Regions from separate parts of the Mus musculus genome. Here regions 1 and 3 are each reported to be linked to region 2. The links are microRNA targets in miRTarBase. Many come from high-throughput screens and were not tested one by one. Region 2 holds a microRNA gene; each other region holds the end of a gene's coding sequence.

Region 1 (3,000 bases), not on the chromosome of region 2:
AGAGTCCACTCCAAACCGCTGAGAGGATCATAGCCTACCCCTTCAGGTAGCTGCAACCATGTTTTACAGGAATACTTTACATCCGAAATTCTGTGATTTAAAAAAGTATAATTTAAGAAATTATTTAGTCTATTTTGAGTAGTTAAATAAATTCTAGGTAGAAACATAAAATGGGGGAATAAACAAGGTTTAAAAAAAGAGAAAAAAAAAGGCTGTTTGTTTACCTATTTCTGGCAAGCAAAATTTTCCAAAAAGAAAATGATATAAACTTCAAAAACACAAAACTAAAAACTTATAAAACTCAACCTGTATTCTTCCACTGGCTGTTTTCAACCATCAGTAGCCTTGGGTACTTTTATTTGGGGACAGGAGTCATAATGACCGGAAGAGATAATTTTAGGAATGTTAAACACATCTTGCAATAGAGTAACATTATTTCCCCAAGTATCATGCCCCAAACCATCAGTGACTGTTAGTGTCTAGCATAGAAAAGAGAAATTTCACTTTAGACATATTTTTTCTACTGAGAAGGCTTATCATATGATTTTAGTATTATGTTTTGTTAATGACAAAAAAAAATCTATTGCCACAAAAGCTATTTTAGTAAAAACTACCCAGGGAAATACAAACATGGCTTGTTTTGTGTGGGGGATATGGACGCCAACCTTGTGAAGGAAAAAGTGCAATGGAGAGCAAGACAGCACAGGCTCCTGCGAGTCCTCCAAGAGTCCTGATGGTCCAGGGCATTAGATCTAAGATGGCTCCTCGAAGGCCAGTTAGACAGCAAAAAGGAACAAAGGCCAGGGCAGTACACCTCTTATCCCAGTACTCAGGAGTCAGAGGCAGGTGGATCTCTGTGAGTTCGAGACCAGCCTGGTCTACACAGTAAATTCTAGGACAGCTAAGGCTATGTAGAGAGTCCCTGTCTCAAAACAAACAAAACAAACTCTTAAAACCAAGTCAACAATAATAAAATTAACCATAGAATGCTTCAACTCAAATCATTTGTGAAGTCACCTGTCCAGCCAGGAAACCCTGTCGAGAGAGAGAGAGAGAGAGAGAGAGAGAGAGAGAGAGGGAGAGGAGAGGAGAGAGGAGAGAGAGAGAGGAGAGAGAGGAGAGGAGAGGAGAGAGAGAGAGAGAGAGAGAGAGGTGAATGTAATAAAACAAAAGCAAGAATAGTCTCTCAAACTGTGGTTCAGCTGTTTTTTTCACACTTTGGCAAACATCAGAATTTTCTGGAGGAAGCTTGAGAAAATAAACATTGCTCTCCCCACTAGCAAGTCTCAAGACAGTTCTGACACTGGTGTGATAGTGAGCCACTCAGCTTTAAGATCTAGTATCTGACTAGACAGTGGTTGTGCACATCTTTAATTCCAGCACTCGGGAGGCAGAGGCAGGCGGATTTCTGAGTTTGAGGCCAGTCTGGTCTACAGTGTGAGTTCCAGGACAGCCAGAGCTACACAGAGAAACCCTGTCTCAAACAAAACAAAACAAAACAAAACAAAAGATCTAGTACCTGGAATGTATACTATTATATAAAGAAAAGAACATATCGGATATGGCTCCATCCAACTTTGTATAGACTCTCAAGATATGTTAGGCTGGGCATAGTGGTGCATGTCTTTAATCCTAGTACACAGAGGCAGAGGATCTTTGAGTTTGATGCCAGCCTGGTCTACAAATTGAGTCCAGGACAGCCAAGGCTATTATACAGAGAAACCTTGTCTTGAAAAACCGGAAAAAAACAAAACAAAACAAAACAAAACAAAAAATCTACTTAAGTGGAAAAACCACAATGTATTCATGTTGATTCACTGATTCCCATAAGTTGGGAAGGTTGTCAGGGGGAAAGGAGAATGCTGGAGATATGGCTCAGTCGTCACCTCAGAGGACTAGGGGTTGGTTCCCAGAACCCACATGGAGGATTGTAACCACCTGTAGCTCTAGCTCTAGAGCATCAAATGCCCCTTCTGAACTCTGCAGGCACCAGGCACACATGCGGTGCCTATACATCCAAGGTAAGCAAACACACACACACACACACACACACACACACACACACACACAATGAACACAGGGTTTTTTTTTTTGTTTTTTTTTTTGTTTGTTTTGGTTTTTCGAGACAGGGTTTCTCTGTGTTGCCCTGGCTGTCCTGGAACTCACTCTGTAGACCAGGCTGGTCTCCAACTCAGAAATCCGCCTGCCTCTGCCTCCCAAGTGCTGGGATTAAAGGTGTGCGCCACCATGCCCGGCATGAACACAGTTTTAAAAAAGAAAAGAACAAAAGACACAGGACAGTACAGTAAGTCGGATAATTTATGGCTATATGAAAAATTTATTGACAAAATAAAAACTATTTACAGATTTACAGAATGGGACTGACCTTGCTCCTATTTTCTCCATGCATCTCTCTATACAATCCAAAATGAAATCATCAAGGTTAGAGAGTTAGAGTGAGAACGCCAACTATAAAGACACAAATATTCGCCGGTCGTGGTGGCGCATGCCTTTAATCCCAGCACTCGGGAGGCAGAGGCAGGTGAATTTCTGAGTTCGAGGCCAGCCTGGTCTACAAAGTGAGTTCCAGGACAGCCAGGGCTACAGAGAAACCCTGTCTCGTGAAAGAAAAAAAAAAAAAGACAGAAATAGTCAGTGAATTATTCAAGACTCAGGAACTTCTTCATCAGGGCAGCAGTAATATTCCACAAAACATATCTGCCCATCTTCATTTCTAATCATGTACTGTAAGGAGAGGAAGCCTCGGTTATCTGTCCGGATAGACACTTTACAGGATAAAGCTAGTGCCTTTGTAGAGGGCTTCAGTAGCGACAGCTTGTATCTGTGGGAGAGTAAAGGAAAGGCCGTTGTTTGGATCCACTAAATGCCATGCATGCAACACCAAGTAAAGACAAAAGTTAGTACTGAGTAGCAAGTACTTAACCGAGGTGCTGGATTTCTTGCCTTATCCACCCGCGATTACAACCCAATATCCCCAAG
Region 2 (3,000 bases):
AAGAAGCTCCTCCCCATGACCGCGAGAAGGGCAAGAGTCCAGCCGTGCACCCGCAGCTACTTCTATAGCAACCGCAGAAGGTCCTTCGGTGTCAGCGTGTCACGTGCTTGTTTCTCAGCCATTAATGGCCGCAGGCAGCTCCTCCCGATTCCCGAGGAAGCCCCTCGAGAGCGGTCTGATCTGCGGGCCTCTCTTCTACCCTCAATTCCGCCTTCCTACCGGCGGTCCAGACGTTCCCAGGCTGTCGCGTGAGCCCGTGTGTGCCCTGGTGGTGCGCTAGGACCCGGGCCTAGTGACCGGCCCTCGGAAGGCCACTTCTCAATGACCGCTGCCACGTTCGCCCAGCTTGGGGCCGGAGGGCGGGGCTTGAGCGCCGATGGGCGGAGCCTTGGTCTGAGCAGGGTAGGTCTCGGTTACTGTAGGGCGGGGCCTGTAGAGCGCGGCGGAAGCTTCTCAGAGCTAAGGGAACTGGCTCAATCCACGAGGCTCCGCCTTTGCTCACGTGTCCCCATGCCAGCTCCGCCCCACACCGGAAGTTCCGGTGGCGGATCGCCGACCGGGCGGAGCTGATCGCTGCGCGGGCTGCGAGATCTAGGTGGCCGGGCGCGGAGCCCAAGCCGTGCCGCGCGGCGCCATGAAGGGCAAGGAGGAAAAGGAGGGCGGCGCGCGGCTGGGCACTGGTGGCGGCGGCAGCCCTGATAAGAGCCCGAGTGCGCAAGAGCTCAAGGAGCAGGGAAACCGGCTCTTCGTGGGCCGCAAGTACCCGGAGGCGGCGGCCTGCTACGGCCGCGCCATCGTGAGTGCGGGAGGGGCGGGGGCGGGGCCCGATGTGCCTCCCAGTTTTGTGATCCCGGACAGGGTTTCTGGCAGCCTGGACTCGATGGCTCGCTCGCTCCCCTGGTGCCCGGATTGCTGTTCCCGAGTCTAGGGCTGATTTGACTGGGAACTGGCGGGCGGGATGCTTGATTAAGTAAGACTAAGGATGACACCAGGAGCTCTTGCCCCTTGAGATTTCCAAGCCCAGAGCTTGTAGAGGGGTTGTGGGATTTCTCTCAAAAGCAGTTGGAGGCAAGAAAGCATGGCCAGAATCCAGAGCTCTTGATAATTCGGAAATCTCCAGTTCCTCTATTCCAGCCATGGGCCCCCAAAGCTGGAGCATTGACCAGATCATTGGCTTTCAGCTTGCTAAATGAGAGGGGATCAACTGAGCCCACACTCTTTGACGCCTGGTCTTGGTCCCCAGACTCGGAACCCACTTGTGGCAGTGTACTACACTAACCGGGCCCTGTGCTATCTGAAGATGCAGCAGCCTGAACAGGCACTTGCTGACTGCCGGCGAGCCCTGGAGCTGGACGGGCAGTCTGTGAAGGCGCACTTCTTCCTGGGGCAGTGCCAGCTGGAGATGGAGAGTTATGATGAGGCCATTGCCAATCTGCAGCGAGGTGGGCTGACAAGATGCAAGGTTGAGGGCACCTTGGGGGACCAGGATTGTTGACAAGTGTAACCAAAAGTGTCCACTCCCCTAGCCTATAGTTTGGCCAAGGAGCAGCGACTCAACTTTGGGGATGATATTCCTAGTGCCCTTCGCATTGCTAAGAAGAAGCGCTGGAACAGTATCGAGGAACGGCGCATCCACCAGGAGAGTGAGCTGCATTCATATCTCACCAGGCTCATTGCTGCTGAGCGAGAGAGGTGGGTCCCTCCCCCAGCAGACACTGAGTCACCAGCACAAGTGTTTTTATTGAAGGACAACAACCGGTACATGGGAAGCCCAGGAGGAAAGAGGCCTGAGATGGGGCGGGCTCTGTGATTTCCTGGTCAGGGCCATCACCAACTAGCTTCTGGTTAACCCTCAGGGAACTGGAGGAGTGTCAGCGGAACCACGAGGGTCATGAAGATGATGGCCACATCCGGGCCCAGCAGGCCTGCATTGAGGCCAAGCACGTGAGGGTGCCCCTAGTCCACATGTGGGTCATTGTGTGTGTGTTTGTGTGTGGCATGAAAAGTGCCCCAGCCTTTGGTGGATCTGTTGGCCCATGCATGACATGAGTGCCCTGGTGGACAGAGTGTGTGTGTCTGTGTGGAGACAGGAGTTGCCCACACATGGCACTCAACTCTGCAGGATAAATACATGGCAGATATGGATGAGCTCTTCTCTCAGGTGGACGAGAAAAGAAAGGTGAGGACCCCCGGAAGCTCATCGGCTGCTGCTGGTATGGTGACCCCCACAGCCCCCTCCAGTTCTAGACATTTTCCCCTTGTGCTATAGAAGCGAGATATCCCTGACTACTTGTGTGGCAAGATTAGCTTTGAGCTGATGCGGGAACCCTGCATTACACCCAGTGGTATCACCTATGACCGCAAGGACATTGAGGAGCACCTGCAGGTAAGGAGGGCCCATGGAGACCGGGCCATGGAGAGCCTTGGTACCCGGATCGGTATACTCAGGCCATTGAACACTCTTGACTCTGTTGCAGCGTGTGGGCCACTTTGACCCTGTGACCCGGAGCCCTCTGACCCAGGAACAGCTCATCCCCAACTTGGCCATGAAGGAAGTCATTGACGCTTTCATCTCTGAGAACGGCTGGGTAGAGGACTATTGAGGCCCCATGTCCTGCCTGGCACCCTGGCCCAGGAGGATCTGGAGACGGAAGCTCCAGTCCCTGTATAGTTTGTGTCCCTGGGCCTGCCCCCATCGGCCCTGCTGATGGGTTCTGAACTGCTCCCCTTCTCAGCATACCCCTTGCTGGACCATGAGCCTCCCTTGTCCCCCTTCTGGGCTGGAGAGTGGGTGAGGGTGGGCTGAGGTTGCTGCTGCTGCCACTGTCCTGTAATAAAGTCTGTGAGCACTACATTGGCATGTGCTGGTGCAGTGGGCTTGCCAGTTGCCTGTCTGGCTAGCCAAGGAAGGTAGAAATGAAGACACTGGTGTCCAGATTGAGTGTGGCATGCCACCACCGATCAGGAAAATACAGTACCTGGGAGAAAAGAAAAAAAAAA
Region 3 (3,000 bases), not on the chromosome of region 2:
CAATGTGAAATGTGGTGTAGGTACTTCATGTACTGAGGTGAGCTTGTTGGATACGAAGGTTCCTAAGGATCTCCAGCCTTAGGCTGTTTCAGAGCAGGAAGTCAGACCAGCTATTACTGTTCTTTTGATATTCAACCCCCCCACCCCACCTTTAATTTTTTAGCAGAGACTAGTGTTGTCAAGTCTCTTGACAGTCACTGGACTGGGAATGAAAGGCTGCTACCATGCTCTTGGACCATTATCAATGGCAGTGTTAGCTGATGCCAAGTCATTTTCAATCTCTCAGCTATAGAAAAATAAGTCTCCTCCTGATCTGAAGTGATTAGACTCTAAAGTGGCACTCCTAGTAATATTCTGAATTTTGTGATTCAGAGTGAAGAGTGTGCTGGAGAAGACTAATAGAATAAAATACTTGCCCAGTCACACTGAGGAAAATCAGTAGTATGTATTTGAAACTATTGGCATCTCCCTCATCTACCGAAGAGGAAGTAAAGCTGTTGTAATCCAGATGCAGGCCTTGTACATGCTGTCTGGTGATGCTAGAAGAACAAGCGTTGTAGATGTGAAGAAAAGCAGACTATAAGGCACTGACACTCCACTGGTAGATCCGCTATCTGCACCTGAGGCTTCACTGTGCAACTCGGACCCAGACAGTGTTCTTCTCAAGACCTCTTTTGCTTTAAGGTTGTAGGTTTTGTTTGTTTCAGACATGGTGTCTTCCTGCTCTAGCCTCTCAAATACTAGGATTGTAAGGAGGAGCCACTGTACCAGGAGCAGCAGGCTGTTTTGGTTTTAATTTTATTTTAAAACCACATTGCACATCAGCTATCACGCTTTTAGATGGTTTGTTTTTTTTGTTTTTTGTTTTTTTTTGTTTTTTTTTGGATTTTTTGAGATAGGCTTTCTCTGTATAGCCCAGGCTGTCCTGGAACTCACTTTGTAGACCAGGCTGGCCTCAAACTCAGAAATCCACCTGCCTCTGCCTGCCGAGTGCTGGGACTAAAGGCGTGCGCCACCACCGCCCGGCTCACACTTTTAGAGTTTTTTTAGATGCTTTGGATTCTTTAACTTGCTTCTAGCACACGTTCCACTTCATGGATTTGTTAGGTCATCTTGACTGTCTTCAGAATATATCCCTGAAGTCCTCTGAACCTTTAGTTCCATTATGGACCCAAGCAAGACTGTATATGAACGTTTAACTCTGATTGTATTGGTACATGGAAACTTTTGAAAAATAGTTGCACTAATTATTTATTTAAGTAGCCTTTTGTTGAACAAGCTTAGTTGACTAATAAGACGTTTGGAAACCCAGCAAACAACTAGCTTTTGTAGTCATAGAAACAACTGGTGGTAGGCACCAGGAATACAGTTTATCTTCTGGACTCCTGCTGAGTTGGGGTTTGCAGAAAACACTTGTGAAATCCTTTGTGCTGAAGACTTGCACTGGGGGTAATCCATGGGACAGATGACTCCCTCCCCCTTGTATTATTGAGTACTAATAGGGTTTAAAAACGAAACACAAAATACTCTATGTTGGCCTTTTCCCCCAATCTTAAATTTTTTCAATTTTGGATTCTATGAATTGTTTTGGAAGGATACTCTGTAACAATGAGCCAGGCCTACAGTAATCGGAGACTTTTAATGTATGTAATATTTTATAGATTGCATGCTGTTAATACTGTGAGGTTATTTCCTGTTTTATTGTAAATTTTCCCATTTATTTGCCCATAAACTAAAATATGGTTGATATTAGGAATTTTAAACAAATGTTGAAACTTTGCTGACCAGAATGCAACCACTTTACCAAGACACAGGTACTGAGGGCTCTGGTCTATCCTGAAATGTCTGATTCTGTGCACAGTTCCTTTACCCTTAAAAAAAAAAAAAAGAAAAGACTGGACATGTCTCTTTTTTTGCTGTTAATATTTGAAGGTCCAAGGATCTGAGTGAAAATACATTCTTGTGTTTGATCTTATAGCCAAGGCAAATTAGAAACAAAAATAGTGCCAATATTTTGAAATCTAGACCCAAGATTTCAGCCTGCTGTGTTTGGAATAAATATGAATTTTTAAAGATGTCTCCTACAGTATTTTCCTTTTGGCTACTTCTGTCTTCCTGAGAGGTACTTGTCCTCATCTAGGGATTAGCACAGGACTGCTGAGTTTGCTATTCTTAAGTCACTGGGTGACAATTTTTACCCCCTCCTTTCCTTACCAGTACTACTGCTGTTTATATTGCCTGGCTAGAGACTGGTTTATGCATCTTTACAAATGATGTCTACCATGTAGTTGCCTCGTTAACAGTTTTATGTTGATTAAAGATGATTCTTACGTGTGGGACATCAAAATGATAGCTTGCTTTTATCTTTCAGTTCTCATTTTCTTTTAAGGTCACCTTTCTGCAGTACAGCTTGCTTTACTCTTTTCTCCTCATGGAGAACATGGTGTCTCCCGAAGGCCGCCTTTACGCCTGCAAAGGGCTTTGGTGGAAGAAATGGTTGGTAGACTTCCAAATCTTTGAAATGAATGGGAGCTGTTTACTTATGAATAGCTTTGGCCAGAAACTCCTCCCGAAGGTGACTTGATGTTTCCCTAACACCATTTACTTGGAATCAGAATTTTTGAACTAATAAGCTTTAACAATGTTTGTCCCGGTCTCACCTGAGTGATGCTGTGTTTTAGATAAGCAGCTAGTTAGTTCTTGACTCAGTGCTCGGTTCTCTCTCCACCGGACCAACTGTTGTAACTAAGCGTGCTGTACTTTTCTTTAGAAATAGAGTTCTATCTGTATTCAGGATTATACTTGAAAAAATATGCCATGTTCTGATTAATAACCATCAAAGTATTCAGATTGCTTAAAGGAATTCAAGTGCAACCTGCATTCACCCCTTCTAAAACTTAATTCATAAATACCTTTCTATAAAGCTGTGTGTAGCAAGAATGCATTGTATTTAGTTCTATGCTGGCAGGAACAGAATGGAGCACAACAAAGTACACAGCC

Evidence for each region. Region 2 holds the annotated microRNA mmu-miR-3082-5p (GACAGAGUGUGUGUGUCUGUGU, at 2,061-2,082, shown strand). A microRNA usually pairs through its seed, bases 2 to 8, with sites in the 3' UTR of a target mRNA and lowers its output. Matches are read on the target gene's strand: a 7mer-m8 pairs with bases 2 to 8, a 7mer-A1 pairs with bases 2 to 7 and ends in A, and an 8mer does both.
Region 1: miRTarBase lists Rad1 as a target of mmu-miR-3082-5p. Seed matches in the 3' UTR shown: 7mer-A1 at 2,603-2,609.
Region 3: the mRNA of Abi2 is a reported target of mmu-miR-3082-5p. Seed matches in the 3' UTR shown: 7mer-A1 at 905-911 and 8mer at 1,598-1,605.

What each region holds. Positions count from the first base shown.
Region 1 is chr15:10,492,996-10,495,995 of GRCm38, reverse strand. Rad1 (RAD1 checkpoint DNA exonuclease) reads right to left here. Exons shown (of 6, transcript NM_011232.3): 6 at 2,301-2,842. The coding sequence ends at 2,665. Among named protein-coding and RNA genes, the nearest start is that of Rad1, 8.5 kb to the right of the region's middle.
Region 2 is chr17:25,830,488-25,833,487 of GRCm38, reverse strand. It overlaps Mir3082 (microRNA 3082), which reads left to right and starts at 2,060; the gene lies at 2,060-2,123. It overlaps Jmjd8 (jumonji domain containing 8), which reads right to left. Exons shown (of 9, transcript NM_028101.5): 9 at 1,645-2,978. The coding sequence ends at 2,898. It overlaps Stub1 (STIP1 homology and U-Box containing protein 1), which reads left to right and starts at 569. Exons shown (of 7, transcript NM_019719.4): 1 at 569-796; 2 at 1,244-1,442; 3 at 1,527-1,692; 4 at 1,857-1,944; 5 at 2,123-2,179; 6 at 2,270-2,386; 7 at 2,478-2,854. The coding sequence starts at 635. The coding sequence ends at 2,603.
Region 3 is chr1:60,477,631-60,480,630 of GRCm38, forward strand. It overlaps Abi2 (abl-interactor 2), which reads left to right. Exons shown (of 12, transcript NM_001198570.1): 12 at 373-3,000. The coding sequence ends at 377. It also overlaps a transcript of Raph1 not described here. Among named protein-coding and RNA genes, the nearest start is that of Abi2, 70 kb to the left of the region's middle.